4 linked regions of the Ovis aries genome follow. The main gene of each other region encodes a partner of the protein of the gene in region 4 in a complex. Links are inferred from orthologs where the notes say so. Each region holds a gene or a part of one and is shown on either strand. Other genes may lie near its edges.

The links.
Region 1: SMARCC2 (region 4) and DPF3 share a complex: the UniProt entries of both Homo sapiens proteins name them as parts of the BAF complex. The link is inferred for Ovis aries from reciprocal best matches to the Homo sapiens genes SMARCC2 and DPF3.
Region 2: SMARCC2 (region 4) and SMARCA2 share a complex: the UniProt entries of both Homo sapiens proteins name them as parts of the BAF complex. The link is inferred for Ovis aries from reciprocal best matches to the Homo sapiens genes SMARCC2 and SMARCA2.
Region 3: SMARCC2 (region 4) and ARID2 share a complex: the UniProt entries of both Homo sapiens proteins name them as parts of the SWI/SNF-B (PBAF) chromatin remodeling complex. The link is inferred for Ovis aries from reciprocal best matches to the Homo sapiens genes SMARCC2 and ARID2.

Annotation. Positions count from the first base shown.
Region 1 is NC_056060.1:82,480,580-82,486,665, forward strand, and holds the start of DPF3 (zinc finger protein DPF3), read right to left. Parts: upstream 4,088-6,086; 5' UTR 1-4,087. UniProt on the Homo sapiens protein: Belongs to the neuron-specific chromatin remodeling complex (nBAF complex).
Region 2 is NC_056055.1:70,273,045-70,279,207, forward strand, and holds the start of SMARCA2 (probable global transcription activator SNF2L2), read left to right. Parts: upstream 1-2,459; 5' UTR 2,460-2,583; exon of another isoform or gene 2,584-2,956; intron 2,957-4,302; exon of another isoform or gene 4,303-4,400; intron 4,401-4,584; exon of another isoform or gene 4,585-4,966; intron 4,967-6,163. UniProt on the Homo sapiens protein: ATPase involved in transcriptional activation and repression of select genes by chromatin remodeling (alteration of DNA-nucleosome topology).
Region 3 is NC_056056.1:140,600,773-140,606,412, forward strand, and holds part of ARID2 (AT-rich interactive domain-containing protein 2), read right to left. Parts: intron 4,876-5,640; coding exon 4,752-4,875; intron 4,663-4,751; coding exon 4,571-4,662; intron 1-4,570. UniProt on the Homo sapiens protein: Involved in transcriptional activation and repression of select genes by chromatin remodeling (alteration of DNA-nucleosome topology). Required for the stability of the SWI/SNF chromatin remodeling complex SWI/SNF-B (PBAF).
Region 4 is NC_056056.1:163,374,195-163,379,810, reverse strand, and holds the end of SMARCC2 (SWI/SNF complex subunit SMARCC2), read right to left. Parts: intron 5,520-5,616; coding exon 5,385-5,519; intron 4,376-5,384; coding exon 3,994-4,375; intron 3,666-3,993; coding exon 3,243-3,665; intron 2,690-3,242; coding exon 2,613-2,689; 3' UTR 1,330-2,612; downstream 1-1,329. Other genes in the region: MYL6 (myosin light polypeptide 6), read left to right, coding at 449-477. UniProt on the Homo sapiens protein: Involved in transcriptional activation and repression of select genes by chromatin remodeling (alteration of DNA-nucleosome topology).

The sequences.
Region 1 (6,086 bases), on a different chromosome or scaffold from region 4:
AAGGGGAGTGTGTGCATGGGGAAACATAAGGAATTATGCATTTGGATATGCATTTTAATTAGGTGGACAGAAGCAGCCGCCTGTTAATTTTTCTTGCTTGTTTCCACTTAGCATTCATCACAGGCAGAACCACCATAGAGCGCTCCCACGATAATAGATGGTTCTGCATTGGCTAAGTCCTCGGGGAAAATAATTAGCAGGAGAGAATATATTCTCTCCACTTCGACTACCCCATCCACCCTGCCCTCCCCCACCTCCAGCACCACATTGCCTCCCCTCCTCCCCCGCCCCCACAAACAACAGTGGCTTCCCTAGCAGCCTAGGGGAACAGTCCACCTCCCGGTTTACAAGCATTTACTTTGTCCTGTCAAAGATCAAGGATCTGGAAGGAGAAACAGACAGACTGGAGGCCTTCCTTGGAGTGGAAGGTCCTAGATACCAAGAGGGAGGCTACTATGCTGCTTAGGACCAAGGGGCAGACTGGCAGGCAGGACTGGCCAGGACAGGATGAAGAAAGTTCCAAAGAGGGTGAGACAGTTCTCACTAAGCTCAACTATCAGCCCAACAAAGACAAGTAAAGAGTCCCTAGTTGAGGAGAATGGGAGCAAGGATGACATTTCTCTCTTAATTTGCTTTTATAAAGTACAGGAATGCTGTGTTTCTGTAGCAAGCTTGAATCTGAAGCATTTCCAAGGCTGGCAAATAACTCTGTTATTCCGAGATCTGACCCTCACCACCATGCTGCCCACATCTACTCATGTACAAAGAATTAATTCTTGCCACTGACCCCTAACGCCAACATCACATCCTCCTTGCTTACTAGCAGATTTAAACCCCAGCCCCACCTTCTCCCCTTCTCTCTCCCTGGAGTCTTCTTGGTAGAAGGAGCCAGAGACTGCTGGATGACCAGAGCCCAAGTTCCAGGAGAATGCTCCCTCTGCCCGCCAGCTTCTGTTTCCTCTGATTGAGGATGGACTCAGTATGGGGTTGACAATGGAAAATGAAACGAAGGCTTCCCTTGAGCTCCTATTCTCACCTATTTCAAACCCGGAAGATGGGAAAACCCCACTGAGATTCCAGGGCTATTTACACACAGCTGGATGAGTGAAGCTTTGCATTTCCTGAGAAACAATGGTTAGACAGGATGTGGAATGCCAGGATCTTTTCATTAATTTTGGTTTTAATATAATAAAGTGATGTTTGATACTTGCGATATTGTTGACTCTCTGAGAAGCGCCCCCCTCCCTCCCCCCAGGTTAGCTACGGGGCAGGGGTGGGGGGCACTTGGCAGCTCTAGTAACACCTCCCATTTGTACTTTACACTTTCTGAAGTGTTTTCACATCCATTGTTTCATTTGGGCCCTTCAGGGGGTGGTAAGCAGGGCTTAGCGCAGGGAAGGGAGGCCAAATGAGATGCATGCCCTTCTCCCCTTATGAAAAGATAGGTCAGATTTACTACCTCCTGACCTTCAAGCTGTCCTGTCATCCCAGGTGTTTCCAGCAGGAACACCTGCTGCCTGATGAGACCTCCACTGCCTGGGAAACCTTCGCTCCAGCCCCACCAGGTGACAACTAGTGCTGCAGCCTCTGGGGCCTCCCCATATCCAGACCCTGACCCCAAGGGAGTCCCTGCCCTCAACGGGTTGGGGGTGGGGGGGTGGTGACAAGATGAAGGCAATCCTCTGGCTGGGGATAAAAGAAGTGAGTCTCTGAGTTCCTGGGGCATTTATCCTCCACCCCCAAAATAGTGGTAGTCCTAAAGTGGGAGGCAGGTAAAGAGGTTGAATTCTATGATGCCATGAGTATTTTTTTTAAGTTTAGAAGAAAGGAGTTGCCTATACTATCTAGAAATGTACTCCATGAATCTTAGTGAGTCTAAAAATGAAGGGGGGGTCTAGGCATATACCCCAAAGAACTGAGAGCAGGGATTCAAACAGCTACTTACACACCCATGTTCATAGCAGTACTATTCACAATCGCCACAAGGTGGAAACAACCCCAGGACCCATCCCTGGATGCATGGATAAGCAAAATAAGGCATATATATACAGTGGACTATTACTCAGCCATAAAAAGGAAGGAAGTCCTGACACATGCTGTAACACAGATGAGCATTAAGAACACTATACTAAGTGCAATAAGCCAGTCACGAAAGGACAGATATTGTATGATTCCACTCATATGAGGTGCTTAGAACAGGCAAATTCATACAGACAGAAAGTACAATGGTGGTTACCACACTGGGATGGGGTGGGAGGAGGATGTCCTCATTAAAACAGAGGATGTTATTGTTTAATGGATATAGAGTGTGTTTAGGATGACTTTTTAAATTCTGGAAATGAATACAGAATATTCTGGTAGTTATACAACACTATGAATGTACTTAATGCCAGTGAACTGAACACTTTAAAAAAGGCTAAAATGGTATGTCTACATGTCATACATGCTAAATATACATGTTATGTATTGATACATCTTACCACAAGTACAAAAAAATTTAAGGGACTGCCTCTGTAGGCTGGAGGTCAAGGAGACCATTTTGTTTTTTCTTTCATTTTGCCTAATTCTCACAATTCAGGCTTCTGTGAATGTTCTGATGGTTTTAACAACCCCCTCTTCCTCCTTTAGACATGTAGAAAATTGCCAAGGGAGCTAGCTGTCAACCAAAGGAAAGCCTGATAATAATGCCTCCAGAGGAATCTGGCATGTTCTGGAGGCATATCACTGAATGAGAGGCAGTGAATTCCACTTTAGACACTGCTAATACTCACCTGCGTAAGGCCAGACTCTGTGTCTACTGAACACCTCCATTTCCTCAGCAGCATCACGGGGTGCAACAGAGGAAGCTCACTGAGACATCAGTACAGGCCCACCCACTGCAGTTCACTGAATGGTAGGGCATTTGCAACTGCCCAAATGGAAATGAAGTAAGCATTTATTTCCATGTTAACTGGGATGGGTGCCATGTTAGAAGAACAGTAGATTGAAGGAGACTGTAGATAAATGAAATCCAGAGAAGAAAATCTTTTGCTCGGTTCCCTTTCTTCCACCATACATTTACACAAAACAGGAAGAAAAAGAGAGATGTTCTCAATAATTCTAGTCTTTTGCACAACCAAAAACATAATCTGAGTGCTTGTAAACAGAAAAAAATAGGCCAATTAATCTTCTCATTTCTCTTTCCCGTCTTCATCCCCTGGTTGGAGTGTTAATGAGGAGAAAAGTGTTCAAAAGGGAGCATCAGAAGAAAAGACCACGTTCTCAGTGGGCCACCACCTGGCCCTCAGCCTTGGGCGCTGAGAAGAGAGAGATCAGAGCCCAGTGGCAACAGAAGGTGGCAAGACAGGAACCAGAGAAGATGAAACTACAGGAGAGCCTACCAGTCTTAACTCCCTTTTAGAGCCACACTTAAAAAATGAGGAGGAATTCAAACACTGGTCCCTAACTGTCCTCCTCATCCTTCCTAATCCACCATAGTCAAGAGGCCCCAGTTTTTTACTGGAAAGGAATTTGGCAATCAAGGTGCATCACCCTCACCTTTAAGACAAGGAATATGTGGCTCAGAGAAGTTCTGGGTCTAAGGTCTCATAGCTGGTGAGCAGTAGGGCTGAAAACTGAGCTCAAATCTCCGGGATCCTCTCCCTGAAGCTTTTACTTCTGAAGCTACAAAAGCATAGTCACTGGTGAGAAAGTATAAGAGGGATGGAGTTTGACATAAGGACATAGGGATGACTGGTGAAAGTTTGAGAACTGAAAAACCTTTTCTGGTGGAGCTTCCAGTTGAAGTTAATACCACAGCAGATTTTTGAAGTGAATATTCAACAATGAGAAAAACTCACTCATTTCATAGCAACCTAAGATGACAGCAAGCTCTGGACTCGAGGAGGGAGGAGAGGGTGCAAAGGGGGATTAGACACGTATCATCATTGTTCCTTGGACTCAGAACTAAGTCCTGGAGGTGAAGGTCTCAACGTGGGCTATTTGAACCCTATTATTAGGAGCTCCTGCCCCTCCCTGCTTTCAAACACAGCCCCCTAAATCTTAGCCTGCTTTCCTTGTAACCCCCCACCTACTACTACTATTCACAAACACACAACCTAGACATTTCCAGCATAGGTTGCTCCTCTTCTCCCCTCCCCTGACCCAAACACCTCCTAGCCACTGCTTTTAAAACTCTGATGCAAATCACAGGCTTCAAAAACCTTCCTTCAGTGACAGTTTTATGATGCTAGCTCCATTCATCCATATGGGTTGACAGACTGTGAAACACTAGTAACCGGACCAATAAGAAAAACAGATTACAAAAACACCACAACACCTCATCTCTCCCCAGTTGCTCACACAACTAAAGAAAACTTTGGAACTTGCAATAGATCATAACATCAGTCTCTCTTGCTGTTAAACAATCATCTTCTCAGAGTTCCAGACCACACAGTAGTTTTATCCACTTACCTATCCCCTCCGTATCCCCTCTCCCCAGGCCACTTCTTTATCTTTCCTTGTTAAATACCTACATGTTTAAAGATTATTTAATGCTAGGGTCATGCTTACATAGGCCCCTGCTGGAAAACCATGGCTGGGCAAAAACTGTTTCAGTGGTTGTGGCATTTCAGGGGCTTGCCACATTGGGCTACATTTGTCTTCTAGTGACTTTCAGAACACTCAGAAACCACAAAAGTTACTTTGCAGAGGTTGGGATAATAGACAGGCCTGAATTCTGATGCTTTTCATGACCCACACCCAGCACCACTACAATCAGGATGGCTGTACTTTCAAAACTGAAACATTAGCCTCAGTTTCTTTTCCTTTTCTGGTGCAAGCTCAAAACAAAGCTTGGTTGACCATGGCATTTTATTTTCTGCACTGATCTGAGCAGATGGCTCTGGAACAGCTTTAGACATTATGGTGTTTCTCAGATGTACCTAAATTTCAGCCACCTGCATGGTTCCAAAAAGACAAAGGAGGATGAGAAGTCTCCAATTAAGTTGCCTCTGAATTCCAGGCCACTTTCTAGAACTAAGCAACTCCCATTCAACTGGAGACCTCTGAATGTCTCCCAGGTGGTCTGCAACCGCAGCAGTTCTCTGTGGCGATGCCTCCATTTGGGTTCTGGCAGAAATTAATAACCTTTATGGGTATCTCATCAAAACCAGACATGCTTCCCACTGAAAAATAATGTGTGCTAATGAAGTTTAGAGAATTTAAGGCTTCCCCCCGCCCTCACCCCAGTGGCAACCAGAAGCAGATGGAGAAGGTGGTTCTTAGGCATCTGTTGGCTTAAAATGTCTGAGGGTCCTTTTTCATAAGGGGCTAAAATAATGTCCATAAAAAGCTGAAAGCTCACAAATCCCAACCCCAGTTTTCCCCATTTAGTACCTACCCAAATCCCCCACCCCAACAGAAAGAGCCAGAAGCAGATTAGAACCAGGAATGTGTCCCCTCTGCGCCATCCTCTCTGATAACCTAAACTGAGTGCCACAGCAAGAGTGAGGTCTGGCTTCTAAGTGGCAACAACTTCACAACTTTCACGGGCACAAAACCACTTTAGATTAGAATACATGGTCTCCAGGTCAGAGAATGAATAAAAAGACGAGATCTGAGGTCCATCTATACACATGACCAGCTGTTTGACCTTGGCTGAGTAAGTATATTTGCTTCTCACAGGGTTGTGTCCTTAATTACAAAACAGAGGTTTGTTTTTTTTTTTTAAAGCCTCCAACCAAGGGAGTGAAGTGAAGTCGTTCAGTCATGTCCGACTGTTTGCGATCCCATGGACTGTAGTCTACCAGGCTTCTCTGTCCATGGGATTTTCCAGGCAAGAGTACTGGAGTGGGTTGCCATTTCCTTCTCCAGGGGATCTTCCTGACCCAGGGATTGAACCCAGTTCTCCTGCATTGCAGGCAGACACTTTACCCTCTGAAACTCCTTACAAAAATGTTTCAATACAACTACATATCTGGATGTTCACATGTTATAGGTATGACCAGTCTACTGATCTCATTATTTATAAACAAATAGTTACTTGGGATAAATCCTTGTTGGTTTATATGGAATAATTAAATAATAATAACGGTTACTGTTTTCTA
Region 2 (6,163 bases), on a different chromosome or scaffold from region 4:
CAGAGTAAAGACTTGAAGGGTGAAGGTGGTGCTTTCTTAGACCAATGTGAAGGGAAAGGGAGATGCAATATCTATATTTAATCTCTGCTCCCAGTGACAGATTTTATTTTTCCATCCCCATCATTGTGCATGTAATGCACAGATACCAATCCCGCCAAGTACTGCATCAAAATTTTACATGAACTGAAGAATATACACATGTAACAAAAGGAGTATTGTTTTAGTCTTTACTTTCCATCTGACAAAACACCAGAAGGAATGACCAGTCTCTTCCGCTAGTATCTCACTAAAATGATTGTTCTCTCTTTCAAATTTGGGATAGCAGGTGAAAATGAATTCTTAAAAGGGATAAAGGGCACTTACTCACAAGGGAATTCAGATGAAGTCATCAATTTCTAAAAATTGGCATATAAGGTTGGCATGCCAGGGAAATGGGTCACCGCCCCCCTTCCAGCCCAAATTAAAACCTTATATTACCTAATGTATTAAGCATCACCATTGGGTTAAAGCCCTTTTATAGACAACTAGGTTATCTGGCTATATTATTAGCTGAAATTTATTAGGCAATTGAAAGTTCTGCTTTTACTACATTGCTAGTTTTGTTTAAGATTTCTCACCTAGTTAATAGTTATACTGGCATAACCTCAGGCAGAAAAACAAGTTCTTACAATAGATTCTTCAGGGCATAATATATTCTACTTCTTTTATATGTGTTATCTTTTGTTGTCTTGAGTTTCACTTTGGGATAGATAGAAAATTATGAAGCTCAGGTTAACAAGCAAGTAGCAAAGCCTTAGAAAACTACAAGGTAGGTGATCCTTGACACTCCCAGCCACCTGAAAACGGTGCCCTTGAGGATTCTTCCTCCACCAGCAATGGGCCAACAACATAAACAATTCTTGCCATTTAATGACCCCGTGCAGCATGCTGCAGCAGTGTTTGTTCCACAGCTTCATGCCTTCAACTTATCCACTGCACAATTTTAAGCGCCCTAGAACTGTATTTCAGACCCAGTTGCCCAAATAGAGCCAATTTCGCAACAGTAAAATGGTGTTAAAATAGGATTTTACTCTAGGGGGGAGAAATCTTGAACCAAATAGTCACAGTGCACTTTGCATGAGTAATTTAAACTGTTACATTACAAAATAAGGGCTATGTCATACTTTTAATAACACTACCATATAGGAACAGTTTTAATGTTGAGTCAAGCACCTACATTCATCTAAGTCTAAAATAATAGGCCCCTGATTTAAAATCTCCTAACATTCTTTCACACTTCATAAAATAAAATAAAATTCTCTCAGCAAACGCTGACCTATTCATCCAGCCAAAGTACTGTATTTCAAGGAAAATAGGAAGGAGAGGTCTCAAACCCACCGAGCGCCAGCAGTTTGCTGTCTGCAACCGTAACTGGTCTTAAATGTGGGCTGGGGGTGAAGAGACGTCAGACGGGAGAGAATAAGAGATTTATTACCTATCTTAAATCAAAAGCAGATTCCATGCTTTAACTACCCCCTATCGCCCGCCCGCCCCCAAGAGGTTGTTTTCCTTTGTTTTTTGGTATATATCTCACGGGAAGATGATAGGTGAGGGAAGGTCAAAGTGCTGTGTCTGGTCCACAGAGTCAACACAGGGGTTAGGGCGGGTTTGTTTATTTATAAAGCGTTCAGCCTCTCAGCTGTTTTTCCCTCATTGGCATTTGGAAGCTTGCAGTCCTTTAGAAAAGAGACAGATTTGGCAGGAATGTTCTTTGTGCCCTCCTTCCTTTTTACGGGGGAGAAAAGGAACAGATTGATAATTACAGCCTTGGGTGGGGGGCGGGGTGGGGGAGAAAAAGTTTCCGGCAGCACGTCGATGCCTGTTTTTTTTTTTTTTTTCATGGTCAACACTGTGCTACAAACAGCTTGGGTGCCACTTGGAGCCTTCCCCCCTTCCCCTCCCTTTACCTCCGCAGGCTCGCTCTGGCAGGCAGAGGCACAGTTAAATTCCAGCACCTTCTTCCCATACCCCTAAACTACTACACGCTATTACTACGGCTGCCCTCCCTTTCACTTAGCCTCCTCCGCTTCCCAGCCTCCCACGAGGAGGCCGGCAGGGGCCCCGGAAGACTGCCGGGGAAGGATAACGGGCGTCCAACTCCCTCCATCAGGGCTTGGGGCTTTCCGCGTCCTGCGCAGTTTTTCTGCTCCAGGCACAAACACGGCCAGGGAGCCGGCGCCTTGCAGACACACACAGATCCACGCATACTGTAGAGCTGTCTCGATCCACATTCTTGCATACCGCCCCCTCCTCCCTCCCAGAGCTCCGGGAGTCGCCGAGCGGGGCGAGTGACAGGCGCTTCCCGCCAACCCGCGCCCGGGCGGGCAGGGAGGAGCGGCGCTCTGGACCAACTGCGGCGCGTCTTCCGGCGCCCGCGGAGGCGGTGAGGGTGGGACGCGGGGCGGAGCCGGAGTTTAGGAAGAGGAGGGGATGGCTGTCATCAATGAAGTCATATTCATAATCTAGTCCTCTCTCCCTCTGTTTCTGTACTCTGGGTGACTCAGAGAGGGAAGAGATTCAGCCAGCACACTCCTCGCGAGCAAGGTAAATATAACTTACAACTCCTTTTTCCTCTTTCCCCTCCCTCCGGCCTCCGGGCTGCAGCCGCTGCACAAACCCCTCCGGCACCGCGCCGCCTTCGCCGGGGATTATTCATTATTAACCTAATTATTATTTATTGTGCATGCACGGAGACCAAAACAAACAGGCGGGCCAACCGCCGCAGCAACAACAAAAAAAGCCCGCCTCCTACCCCGCGGGCCTCAGGTGGAATGCTCTTAACGACAGCTCCCGGGCAGCAGTGGAAGAAACGCGAAAGTTTCAACCGAAGCTTGCTGTTCTAATAATAATAGTAATAATTACTACTTCAAGGATGCAAGGGGAGGAAAATCCCAACAAACCACAGCCTTGACCTTAGGTAGGCAATCAGCGATGCGCTGCCAACGGAAGGTTGCAACACACACACACACTCGGCAAGGTTGCAATCCCCTCATTCCCTTAAAAACTGGGGTTGGGGGGAGGAGGTGGCAGGAGGATCGGGAAGAGTATGGAAACGCTAAGGTTCTACTAGAGCAGTCCTCCCGGGAAGAGTTGGAAGGGGAGCGGGAGGAGAGGGCGAGGAGCCCGGGCTGACGGCTGGGCGCCAACGAACGCGGCTGCCACCAGCTTCCCTGGGACTTGTTTAAAGGGCTCCGGCTGCGGAGACAGGAGCTGGTCGCGATGGGAGAAGCCGGAGCTGGCTCGCCGAGGCAGTGGCAGCCACCGCCGCGGGGCCGCTGCGTGCGGGATCGGAGGTGTCACCTCCACTTTGCGAGCAGGGATGGGTACGCTGACCGGTAGGCAGGCCTTTAGGCAAAGGGGCTGCCGGGGGTCTGCACCCGGGGCACTGCGGACGACCCTGCCCCTGGTACCTGGTGGCCGCGCGGGCTCGGGTGTTGAAGTTCGGGGTGTCCAGCCGCGACCACACTGCTGGGAGGGAGGAAAGGAGGGAGGAGGTCCTGAAGAAGGAGGTCGGAGGTGCTCATTGGGCTGTTATCCTGCCCTCCGCCTTCTCGGGTTTGTTTTCTTTTGGTCTGCATCTTCCCCTAGCTTGGGCTGCCGGAACCTCGGGCGTGGGTCGCCGGCGATCATCCGGATGCTAGGGGAGCACCCGGGCCCAGGAGAGCCACGGTGGCTGCGGGCCGGGGAGGCCATGATCCGGATAATCCTCTCTGCCTGACTGTCACAAACAGGACCCGCGCGCACCCTGTGCAGTGGTGTTCGCTGTAGAAGGGAAGGGCTGGCGCGGGGTAGGGGGTGGGGGGGGGGGGGGGAGGCTGGTGAGGGCAGAAGGCGGGGAGACCGGGAGGGAGCCTGCCCCCAGAGATGACACGCACCGCTTCCTTCTTGTTCCCTGCTTTCGAGTTTGCTTTATTCCCATCCCAACCTGGTTTACTCCCTCCTCTGCTTCCCCCTCCATCTCGCCGTGTTCCCTCCTCCCGGTTGCGTTGCAAAACACGGCCATGCCATCTGCAAAGGTGTCGCGATGCACTTCCCCAAATAACCAGTCCGGCGCGCCAGCCCCTAGTCACCCTCTGTCTGCGGGCGCACACCAAGTGGGGCGCCCTGGGTCCCCTGCACCAGGCCTCGCAGCCTGGGCGCAGTTGCACCGCGCGGGGCGGGGCGCAGCAGTAAGGGCTCCAGGGGGACAACCGCTCCTGGGTCCCGACACTCGGACCGGTTTCCGGCACACGCGGGGAAATTGCCTCCCGCCAGTGTCTGCGCACTCGCCCCCGCCTCCACCGCCTGGATTGCATTATTATTTTTATCCTGGTTGCAGTTTGCAGCCGATCCTGGTGAGCCCGGGGCTGGCCGGACTGCTGGTAGGGGGGGTGGTGGGGGTGGCGGGTGGAGGGAAGTTGGACGTGGATCAGGCAGGAAAAAAAAAAGTTTGGCAGGGAGACTAAGGAAGGAGGGAGGGTGGGAGGGGGCGGCGAGCTCCCGCAGCTCGCGTCTCGGCGCCCTCGGGGCCGGCGCGAGTGTGTCTGCGCGTGAGTGTGAGTGTGTGTTGTGCGCTGGGGCCGGTGCGTCGCGAGCAGCGGCGCGGGCAGCTGCTCCTGCTCGTGCCCTGCCCGGGAGCCGCGGGAGGACAAGGCGAGGTTTGGTGGTGGAGGAGTGGTGGGGGTGGCGTGTGCGTGTGGCTGTGAGTGTGCGCGCGCGAGCAGCGGAGAATCAGGAAGTCACAGCAGCGAAGCGCACACAGACATGTTTGATCGCCGTGACATGACGCGCGCGAGGGAGGAAGCGGCAGCGGCTGCGGGGGCCGGGCCGCGGGCTCCAGCGCCGGCCTAGGGCTTGGGCGGGGAGACCCGCTCCCGCCGCTGGCAGGGCCGCCACAGCAGGCTAGGCTAGGCTAGCCCCGCGCCTCTTTTTGTTCCGTGTCCCCCAGGTAAGGAGCCTGAGCCTCCGCCGCCTGCCGGGTGCGGAGCTTTCCAGTTCTTTCCCTCCCGGCCCCCTCCGGTCTCCGGGTCAGGCTTTCTTGCAAAGTCAGGAGGGCGGGAGAAGCCGGCTCCCGGCCCTCCGATCGATCGCGTGGAAAACTTTCCAGCGGGAGGCACCGCGAGGGGAAGAAGGCCTTGCTGGCTGCTGTCCCTTGTCAGTTCTTTCTCCTCCGGGTCCGGAGAGTGGAGTCGCTCTGCCCCGGGGCTGTTGCACATTCAAACTTCAGGCCTTAAACGTGCCTCCAGCTTTTGCCGGATTTACTCCAGAAATTAAATATTCGAAGTCGTCTGCTTGGTCCTGCCAGGCGTTTGGGTTTTTGAAGAGCAGAAGGCAGGCATGGGAGTCGAGGGGGATGGGGGTGTTGTGCAGAATCCATTCCTTCCTTAATGTCTGCAGCGGGTGTTATGTAATTTTAGTAGCACACGGGTGCAAAGCCCATACTGGGCTTCTCCCCTCCTTTGTTTATATAACTTTTGGGAGAGTTTTGCAAGGTCCCCCTCTCCCCTTCCTTTTCTTCTTTCCGTTCTCAACCTAATGGAGCTTGGTGCATTTGAAAAAGTAAAGCGACCTGGGTCAGTATATTATTGAGAGGTGCTATCCTTAATCTCCTGGTTATTATGCAGACTGTGTTCCTAACTGTGTGTGATGTTAGGGCATAAGGAAGACATCTGTATCATCAGTAGCAGAGTTAAAATTTCAACTTCCATTTCAAAGGACTTTTTAATTTACACCTGGATGTGCTGTGCTTGTTGGAAGAGAATGCTTGTAGGCACAGAAAGATTGTTGTTTTCATTACTGAATGGAAGAAAATTTCTATCTAAGCGTGTTAAGTAAGACTCAGAAACCTCTGAGAACTGTACTGAAACAAAAGCCATGCCCAGTGTTAGTTGTGTGTATATACTTAACACTTGCACATTCAAATGTTTCAGTATTATCTTATTTGCAGGACCACTGCCCCAGGCTTGTTTGCCTATAATAGCTATGCTAGGCTTCTAGCTTACCTCTAGCTTCCTGGTGAATTGTTAAGAGGTGTGGCAGAGGTTTGAATCCAAGTTGGTGAATTGTTATGCAGATAAAACACCTTTTTCTCTTTTAGGAATCTAATTGTCCTTTTATTCTCCTAGACAATTTTTTTTTTTTTTAA
Region 3 (5,640 bases), about 23 Mb from region 4:
GAGGAAGTAGGAATGATTTCTTACTGTATTGGGCACTGTACTGAAGGTGTGCAGGTTAAAAGATTACTCAGAGAAAATGTGTAGTTAGGTCAAAAAGGGGGACATTGTTGTTCAGTTGCTAAGTTGTGTCTGATTCTTTGTGACTCAATAGACTGCAGTAAGTCAGGCTTCCCTTTTCTTCACCATTTCCGGGAGTTTGCTCAAACTCATTCCCATTGAGTTGGTGTTGCCATACAACCATCTCATTTTTTGCCACCCTCTTCTCCTCCTGCCTTCAGTCTTTCCCAGCATCAGGGTGTTTTCCAATGATTTGGTTCCTTGCATCTGACTGCCAAACCACTGGAGCATTAGCTTCAGCATCAGTCCTTCCAATGAATATTCAGGGTTGATTTCCTTTAGGATTAACTGGTTTGATCTCCTTGCTGTTCAAGGGACTCTCAAGAGCCTTCTCCAGTGCCACAGTTCAAAAGCATCAATTCTTCAGCGATCAGCCTTCTTTATGGTCCAACTCTCATGTCCCTACCTGATTACTAAAAAGACCATAGCTTTGATTATATGGACCTTCATCAGTAAAGTGATATCTCTGCTTTTTAATATGCTGTCTAGGTTTGTCCCTTTCTTTCCAGGAGCAAGTGTCTTTTAATTTCATGGCTGCAGTCACCATCGGCAATGATTTTGGAGCCCAACACCATAAAGTCTTTCATTGTTTTCATTTATTGTCATGAATGATGGTCCCATCTATTTGCCATCAGTGATGGGACCAGAAGCCATGATCTTAGTTTTTTGAATGTTGAGTTTTAAGTCAGCTTCTCCACTCTCCTCTTTCACTTTCATCAAGAGGCTCTTTAGTTCTTCTTTGCTTTCTGCCATTAGGGTGGTATCATCTACATATCTGAGGCTGTAGTACTTCTACTGGCAATCTTGATTCCAGCTTGTAATTCATCCAGTCTGACATTTCACATAATGTACTCTGCCTTTAAGTTAAATAAGCAGAGTGACAATCTATAGCCGTGACATACTCCTTTTCCAATTTGAAACCAGTCCATTGTTCCATGTCTGGTTCTACTGGTACCTCCTGATCTGCATACAGGTTTCTTAGGAAGCAGGAAAGGTGATTTAGTATTGCCATTTTTTTCAAGAATTTTCCGCAGTTTGTTATGACGCACATGGTCAAAGGCTTTAACATAGTCAGTGAAGGAAAGTAGATGTTTTTCTGGAATTCTCTAGCTTTTTCTATGATCCAGTGGATACTGGCATTTGATCTCTGGTTCCTCTGTCTTCTAAATCCAGCTTGAACATCTGGAAGTTCTTCATTCACATACTGCTGAAGCCTTGCTTGAAGGATTTTGAGCAATATCTTGCTAGCATGTGAAATGAGCACAATTGTATGGTAGTTTGACCATTCTTTGGCATTGCCTTTCTTTGGGGTTGGAATGAAAACTGACTTTCTCCCATCCTGTGGCCACTGCTGAGTTTTCCAAATTTGCTGGCATACTGAGTGCAGCACATTAATAGCATTATCTTTTAGGATTTAAAATAGTTCCAGTGGAATTCTATCACTTCCACTAGCTTTGTTCGTAGCAATGCTTCCTAAGGTCCAGTTGACTTCACACTCCAGGATATCCGATGCTAGGTGAGTGACCCCACCATTGTGGTTATCCAAGTCGTTAAGATCCTTTTTATACAGTTCTTCTGTGTAATCTTGCCACCTCTTCTTAATATCTTCTGCTTCTGTTAGGTCCATTCCATTTCTGTCCTTTATTGAGCCCATTTTTGCATGAAATGTTCCCTTGGTATCTCTCTTTTAGAAGAGATCTCTAGTTGTTCCCATTCTATTGTTTTCCTCTATTTCTTTGTACTGTTCACTTAAGAAGCCTTTCTTATCTCTCCCTATTATTCTTTGAAGCTCTGCATTCAGTTGGGCATATCTTTCTCTTCTTTCTCCTTGCCTTTCACTTCTTTTCTTTTCTCCGCTAACTGCAGGGCCTCCTCAGACAACCATTTTGCTTTCTTGCATTTCTTTTTCTTTGGGATGGCTTTGGTCACACCCTCCATAACAGAAGAAGCAAGAATTGCAATCCTATGGCCTCCAGAATGAAAACCACATCACAGAAAACTAACCAAAATGATCACATGGATGCCTTATGTAACTTAATGACCCTTATCCGCCACCCTAGATGGTTGGGTCATGGTGGAGAGTTCTGACAAAACGTGGTCTACTGGAGAAGGGAATGACAAACTCCTTCAGTATTCTTGCCTTTAGAACCCCATTGACAATATGAAAAGGCAAAGAGATATGAAACTAGAGATGAGCCCCTCAAGTCAGTAGGCGTCCAATATGCTACTGGGTAAGAGTAGAGAAATAGCTTTAGAAAAGGGGCTGAGCCAAAGCAAAAACAATGACCAGTTGTGGATGTTTCTGGTGGTGAAAGTCAAGTCCAATGCTGTAAAGAAACATATTGTTAGGAACCTGGAATGTTAGGTCCATGAATCAAGATAAATTGGATGTGGTCAAACAAGAGGTGGCGAGAGTGAACATCGACATTTTAGCTATCAGTGAACTAAAATGGACTGGAATGGGAGAATTTAATTCAGATGACTATTATATCTACTACTGTGGGCAAGAATCCCTTAGAAGAAATGGAGTAATTTAATCACTCCATAATTACTACTAATTACCATAATCAACGAGAGTCCAAAATGTAGTACTTGGGTGCAGTCTCAAAAATGACAGGATGATCTCAGTTCCTTTCCCAGGCAACCCATTCAACATCACAGTCATCCAAGCCTATGCCCCAACCACTAATGCCAAAGATGAAGCTGAACAGTTCTTTGAAGACCTAAAAGACCTAGAACTAACACCAAAGATGTCCACTTTATCATAGGGGACTGGAATGCGAAAGTAGGAAGTTAAGAGATACCTGGAGTTAATAGGAAAGTTTGCCCTTGGAGTACAAAATGAAGCAGGGCCAAGACTAACAAAGTTTTGCCAGGAGAATGCAGCACTGGTCATAGCAAACACCCTCTTCCAATAACACGAGAGATGACTCTACATATGGACGTCACCAGATGGTCAATACTGAAGATGGAGAAGCTCTATACAGTCAGCAAAAACAAGACCTGGAACCGACTGTGGCTCAGATCATGAGCTTCTTATTGCAAAATTTACACTTAAATTGAAGAAAGTACAGAAAACCACTAGGCCATTCAGGTGTGGCCTAAATCAAATCCCTTATGATTATACAGTGGAAGTGACAATAGAGTCAAGAGATTAGATCTGAGAGATACAGTAGGGTGGAAAGCCATATGAAAACCCACTTACAAAACGTAAGATGAAATGTTATAAAACAGAAATGTTATAAACACAGACTCAATGAGGAAGAGGAAAACAGCACAGGAAAGGCAGCACACAGACGCCAGCGTCTGAGCTGGATTAGGGAAGGCTTGCAGATGCTCAATGGGCCTCAACCCAGGGAAGATACAAAAGTGTGACATGAAAGACATCTAGGGTGGATGGAATCTGCATGCGGTTCAATTTGGCTAAAATTGATATGCAGCCAAAGAAGGAGTAGGAAGAGAAATATAGTGAGACAGGAAGGAAGAAATGATACTATAAATGCAATTGGGAGATGCTAGTGACAAAACCTTCTTATTTCTTTTCTGAAAAAACTTTATTTTTAATTTGAATGTTAAGAATTTTTTCTTATTCCTCTGTGGGAATACTTGATTCATGAAATATAGTAACTTTCGTTATTGCAAACACTTTTTTTAAACAAGTTTTATTCGCTTTAAATTTACCTAAGTTTTAAAGTTTGATATTAAAGTAATTGCTTCTTTGTAATTGATGCCTCTGTTTTTTTGCTCAGAAAGTCCAGTTGGAATGTAACTACAAGGAATATTAAGATCCAACACAAAGTAAAATAGGAGGAGGAGAACCAAGGTAGATTCGATTAACAGCATGTGAGAAGAGAAAAAGTAGGAGAGAAAAGCACTGTCTGGAAGGCAAGATGCATTAAAGCATGACTTCCCAACTAACGAGCCCAAGTTGAGTCAGCTGAAGATGGAGGAAGAATACTAAAAGATTATTTTCAAGGTTCAAAGGAGACAAATCTACATTTGCTTTCTCAAGAGTTAGAGCTGTTTCCAGTTTCCATAGATTTATAAAATACTAAGTTTTCTCGTAAGTCCAAGAATCTTAGCATATCTATGACTTTGATGGTTTCATCAAAACGGCAATTATCAAACTGAATTCCATTCTAATTCCACATGATTCAAGTAACGAATTCCTTTTTCCTCCTAGTAAACTCCCAAGTGTTCTTTGGTAGACCTACTTTTTCCTCTAAATGCTATGATGAACAAGAAATTTAACTTGAACAAGTTCAAGAACACCTTTTGGTTGTTTCAACTTCCACTTTTGTGGCTTTTAAGAATCTACGACAGTCTACTTTGACATAAGCTTTTGGACATCCAAAAATTGATGAGAAAAACAGTGAATACAATGCAGATATCTAAACTTACAGGTAACAGTAAAATAAAAATTCACTCTGACTACAGAAAACAGATTACTCACCTGCGACCACATTCTGAATATTTACCAATGTTTTTTAATATTAAGGCAGCTGTTAGTCGGATGTGTTTAGTTATTGGTCCCTCTTTTTCATCCTTAAAAAGGAAAAGAAAAGAAAAAGAATAAAGGTCTAAATCATACAGTGTTCACACCTTCACAGTTAAGGCTTCCAAGGCTTACTTACTGTAAAGTCTCGAAAGACAAGATTTCTTGATCCTCTCCTTAGAGCCATAAGGGCAGCACTGGGATGATTCACAATGGCCTTTTGTGCTCTAGGAGCTGAGCTTGTGCCCCCTACAGCTGGCTGCCTAAATATACCAGGGAGAGGAAGAGACTGTTAACATGACAGTTCAGGCAGACTGACAACAAATGACTAACCTGCCAAACCTGAACGTGGTTATCGAGGTAGACACAGCGTGAGTAAAAGCTCTGGTGGCCCAGCAGTAATAATTACTCTTTGTGCCAACTGAGGCAAAAGGGTTCGTGGTCTTTTATTTGCAATCTATCAACTTTAAAGCAAACAACAGATGTCCTAGTACAGCTCATATATATATAAACACAACATAGCTTAAAAGTTGAGTTCATATCTTTGAATGCAATGTAAAGATGTTAACAAAGAATAGTCTACAAGTTGAGCTGCAAATTAGTTTTGCTAAATGGTACCTACAAGTAAAATTTATCTCCTAAGAGTGTACTGGTATATGTATAGGTCACCCAGGAAAAGACAACCTAATACGATAATAACATGAAGTTATGCTAACTACTACATTTCAAACTATTACTATCTTATAGAATTTTTTATTAACCAATTTCAATTAATCATTTCAGTATAGCTCTAATGTCCTTTAGCAAAGATGGAGGGACTGCAGAGACAGAGTTTATAAAAATGAGATTCAAACTACTCTAGGTTTCCTTTGCCACATAGAAAAACTGCATCAGTATCTGGTGTATTCTGCTGAGGGAACAGTGGTGAGAGAACTGGCTCTCAGGGAGAAAGTCCTGTTTCTGCCCCTCACTGGCTGCATGACTTTGAACCATTCAATTTGCCCCTTTGTGCTTCAGGTTTCACATCT
Region 4 (5,616 bases):
GTGCTGGTGTCTGGGAACTCACACCAGCCTACCTACCCCCGTCTGGCTTCATGGTGATCCTTTAGCTCAGGATCACGTGGTTGGCAGGGAGGGTGGGTTGCCTGCCCCACCGTGCTGCTGTAGGTCTTCTCTTCTTTCCGCTGGGCAGCTTGGAGATACCCTAACCCAAAACTCTGTCTCCTCCTCCCCCCAGTGGCTGACAGTAGCTGTAGGTGTAGTTGGGAACTCTTCTGCCTCTGCTGTGTTCTTGCTGCTCGGGGTGGGGCAGGGGGAACTAACAGCTGGTGGGAGGGGAGCTGGGGGTCGAGAGTACTGCAAACTGACCCCAAGGTTGGTTGTCGTGGGCACATTCCTTCCTACGCTGCCTTTGTGGTCTGTGGTCTCCTGGCCCCTGGCGGACCCCTCCCCTTCGCCCTGCTTCCTGTTCACCCCCCTCTCCTTTCCACAGAGCTCGTCCGCATGGTGCTGAATGGCTGAGGATATTCCCAGTGTGCGTGGACACTGCACCTTCCTTGTGGGAGATTGTGTATGTAGCCCAGAGGCTTCCTAGGTTCTCTTGTCACAGTATTTTCCCCAGATTCTCTCTCTTGGATGATGTCTACCATCAGCATTCACCAAATAAACTTGTTCTCTGCTCTATGTGCAGTTCTGCTGTTCTTCCTGAGCAGGATGAAAGGTCAGTGGACCAGAGGTTGCGGAAAGCCAGCCAAGGGCCTGTAGGAGCCACTTTTGCCTCATTTAAGAGATGCTGGCTTCACTCATCGGTGCTACAAAGGCTACCTTGGGGGGATTAGGAAAGCCATAAATGCCTGTAGGACTAAGGCTGGCCACCCTTGTTCTATCCCATGTGGGGCTGAGTCCTCTCCTAGCCCTCCCTGGCATGGAAGGTCTTTTGTCAGGGAGCCCGGGAACTGTTTATTGGAGTGAAAGTCAGGCCATATTAGTACTGCCTGGGCCTGTCACTTCAGCGAGGCCCAGGGCCAACAATAACAAGCAGCTGAGATGCCTGCCTTCTCCCGCCTAATAAGGGAAGACATGAAGCCACCACTACTGAAAGGATAAATAGACAAAATTTCCAGGTTGTGAGGTGTCCTTCCAAGTCTTAAATGGCTATTTTTAGAGCAGGTGAGAGCCTCTCCCCAGCTCCTGCACGGCTGTTCAGCCCTGACAGCTGTGCTGCCTTTGGCCCGTTGTGGAGAGAGGCCCAGTGTTGGCCGGGCGTCCCTCCAGCCCCGCCCAGTGCTGCTGGAGGACTCCTGGGGTGATGCTCCAGCCCGATCCCCCTGCCTCACAGCCACGGGTAAGAGAACACAGAAGGCATCCACAAGATGGAACTGAAAGCAAATTAATTTATAAAAAAAAAAGGGAAAAGAAAGAAAAAAAATTTACAGAAAATTTTGAACAGAAGAAAGGTGCCAAGACGCAGAGGAAGAGAAACATGGGGACAAGAGGAACAAAGGGCCTGGTGGGAGGGACCAAGAACTGGTGGAAAGCCTTGGGATCACTGTTGTCATCACATCAGGGATAAAGAGGGACAGCTGGTACTGGGGGCACTGGAATCTGGGGTGCAGAGCTGAGCCACGAGCTGCCATCAGGGGGTTGGCATGCCCCTAGGTTGGGCATCCCTACCCAGCTGCTGCCCCAAATCCCAGGGAATTCCCCGATACCAGCCATGACGGGTGTGGTGGGAGGGAAGAGGGGACAGAGTGGCCCACCACGTCATAAGAAGGAGGTGCTTAAGTGCTTTTCTGACAATTCCACGCTTTTAAAACTTCCCATTCTCTTGGTGCTCCCCTCTCCGCATCTTCTGGGAGTCAGAGCCCGGGGAGGGGGCCACACAGCCCCACGTGCCCTTTCTTCCTCCACTACCTACCACAGGAATCCCCAAGACGTTTCCCCACCAAATAGACATACTCTGACATCAACTACGCAGGAGACTTTTAAAAACACAAAACTGACATTCAGAGGGAAAGGGGTCATTGGCTGAGCTGGGGTGGCCTAAACAGCAACACTGAGGAAGCAGCAGGAGAGAGGAGTGGGAATAAACGGGGCAGCCGAGGAGGGTGGGGAGCTGACTCGGTCACTAATGAGGGGCCGGAGGAGACGGAGCCTGCACCCTATCCTATCAGCTCTCCCCAGAACCTAATACCCCTTTCCTAAAACTCACCTCCCTCCTCCAAAAAATGTAAAAGTTGGATTTTTCTCACTGGTTGGAGGGCTTTTTTAAATCTCTACTTCCTTTTAAAGGGCTTTTTTTTTTTTTCAATCCATAAAAAATGCAGTAGTTTTGTGGGGATGTACCCTTAACAGTGGTTAATTAGGACCTTGTAGAAACACCTTTGCCCAGCCCTTCCTTTGAGGGCAGCGTCCCCATCCTATCTTCTCTCCCAGACATTAGAAACATCTTTTCCACAGAAGTCCTTGAATCATCAAATATAAAAATGCATGCCCCTGACAGGCACGGTGGGGGCTTTGGAGGGGCAGGAGGACTTTCCTTACGTAGTGACGAACTCTCCAGGCTGGGGAAGGGTCCCAGTGGTGGGGACGGGGCTGTTCCTGGAAACTTGATCTCCGTGGGGGGTGAGGAGGGAGAGAGATGTCGGGCTGGCTCCTCACTGTGGGGGTGGCACGGGGGTGACTGTGCCTGGGCTCGGGGCCGTGGGGTCTGGAGGCAGGGGGGTGCCTGGGTCTGTGGAGAGAAGCAAGTTGCATCAGCTGAGGTGAGCAGGGGAGAGGGTACAGACCCAGGCCACCAGACACGCAACCAGGCATGGCATGCAATGGACGGGAGATGAGAGAGCACCCCCGATGGACAACTTCTTTTCCCAGTGCCCTCTCCCACCACACGCTGGGAAAACTGCTACACCCTTAACTGTCCTCCTGCCCTCCAGGGAACTCTCTAAATGGGGCACTTGAGTGTGACGGGAACAAGCAAACGGGACGGCAGTCATCATGCAAACAAGCAGCCGTTTTTCCAGTTTACAACTGAGATGCTCTGTGTCACAGGACTCCTCCGTGACCCACCAGTGAAAGGCCCCAGCGTCATCCCAGGGGCCAGCTGCCAGGCTGGGGAATGGTGGAGGACAGCCAGAGAGGCCCTTCCCTCCTGTATTCTAATTTTACCACGGCGTTCAAAAAAAGGATCCTGGAAGCCCTGGTACCCGAGCCCCGAGCCCACCTGCCCTCCAGTCCACCCTGTGGAGCCCTCTCCCGCCCCTTGTCCCCTCCAGGACCCTTCTCACCTGGCAGTGGGCTGGCACTGGGCAGGAGGTTGCCCTGAACAGCTGCCACAATGGCAGGGCTCTGGGCTGCGGCGGATCCGAGCCCCGGCCCAAGAGGCAAAGAAGATGGCATGGTGGTGGTCGCCGGCAGGTTAGGATGTAGAGGGTTCGCCATGGACACAGGCAGGTTAGGTGGGGGGAGAGTGGCCGGGGCGAACGGGAGATGGTGGTGATGCCCATGCAGGTTAGGAGGAGGCGGGAGGTTAATACTGATGGAGTCGGCTAGGCTACCAAATGGGATGATGGATGGAGCAGGAGGGGGAGGCGGCATGCCAAAAGGCAAACCCAAAGGAGCATTACCCGCCACGCCTGGGTGCCCGCTGCCTGGCACTGCCCCTGGCATCATTGAGGGAGGAGTTTGTTGGTTGGGGAACGGTGAGGGGCCTGGGAATGAAGAGGAGAGATGGAGAAGATTGGAGGCATACAATCTCCCTCACCAACTCACTCACACAGTGAGGATAACCCAGTCACTCCTAGGCCACCTTCCCCTTTCCTGATACTAGAACTGAGTGATAAATCCTTCGAACAAAATTCCAAAACTCTGGCTCTGGGGAGGGAGCCCTGCTGACTTAGGGAATAGCCATGGTGAAGGAGGATCTGTAGAAACAGGTCAACCCTTATCTCCAGACCTAACACACACTGCCTCTAAGGGGAACTGGAACATTCCCCCGGACCCCTCCACTCAGCCAGAGTTCCAGAAGCCATCACTCACCATGGGGTCCAGGGGGGGGTACCCCTGGTGGGACGGCCCCAGGCTGGGGGGCTCCAGCTGGTGGCTGCTGCTGTGGCCCCACAGTTGACCCTGCCTGCCCAAGCTGTTCGGAGGGCCCCAAGCTTCCAGGAGGGGCCCCACTGCCCGCAGGAGCCGGGGCCACAGAGGCTGGAGCCATGGCCAAGCCGTGGACAGTGGGTGGCCCAGCAGCACCTGGCGGTGGGATAGGCTGGGAGCCTGGGGGCAGGGCTGGCGGTGGCTGCTGCTGCTGTTGGTGCATCTGCTGGAAGTGCTGCTGCCGGGCCCGCATCTCTGCGTACTTCAGCTGCTCCATGTGGAAGGCTTGCCTGTCGGCCAAGAGCTGCTGCCTCTGGTACTCCAGCTGCCCGGGCCGACGGAGAGCTGTCACCCGGGGGCTGGAGACCCCAAAGGCACACACCTTGCCCCCTGCTTTGTCTTCTGACAAGCCCAGCCTCCCATTCTGGCGATCCCCACACCAAACCTCAGCCTTGTGCTTGGCTTCCGCTGTTCTCGCCTCCCCTCCCCTCTCCAGTTCCCCCCACCAGGTCTTCTGGCTGCCCACATGGCTTCTCACTGCAGTGGACAAGTGGACTTAATCTGGTGGTAGCCTTTGTTCATTTTCAGCTCCAAAGCTTTGAATTTGTCATTACTTTCATCTGGAAACCAACCCCTACCCCACCAACCAACCAAGTTCCTCTAGTCAAATCATGTTCTTTCCCTCCTTCAAAACTGAAGAAAAACTCACAATTCTTAGGAAGCCCTCCCAGATCACCTCACTAGCCTCTGAACTTTGGCCTTTATTCTGCTCTCACTCAGGATTTTTATGCTTGATTGGAAATCTCTCAATTTTCATTTGTCAGATGCTTGAAGCATTAGCCAACTTTGACGTCTCCATATTGGATATCTGATATCTTCAATTGAGGAGTTCAGGATCAGAGTCCTTATCTTCTACTTTTATATCTTCTAAGAATCAAAATGAGTCGACACCATGTCCATCCTGTTCCCTTTCCAACTTTAACCCCTGGCTCTGAAGCCCTTACCCTCTCATCATGCCTTAAACCTGTTTAATCACTCAACAATCACTCCACAGCCAAGTCTACCGTGGACTAAGCACCCTTTAAGGACCTGGAGATGTGGCAAACTTGACCCTGGGGCTGACATTCTGTGGGACCTCAGTCTCCAGGCTGTACCTGTGGGTCACTTGTCCCTAACCGCCCAGGCTGGCTCCTCCTGCCCTGGTCTGGGCTGGTCTGCTCTGCTGTGATACTGTCAGCCTCAGGTTCTCTGTATTGCTGCTCTCCTTGCCCTAAACTGCGGCCCAGCCCACTGCCAAGGTGGGGCCCCGCCAACCGCCAGGGGACTCGACTCACTGCTTCTCGCTCCCGGTCCATGATCGTCTCTAGCTCCTCAAAGTGCCGGAGTTTGATTTCCAACTTTTTCATCTGGGTCTCTACCAGCAGGGCCACCAGAGATTTGATCTTCCTCTCCTCAACGGCAGCCAAGTGCTAAGGAAGGAAGGGTGGGGTGGCCATCAGTGCGAGGACCCAGCTGAAGACACTGGGCAACAGAGAAGGGTGGTGTGGGGGCTGACAGGCTTTAAGA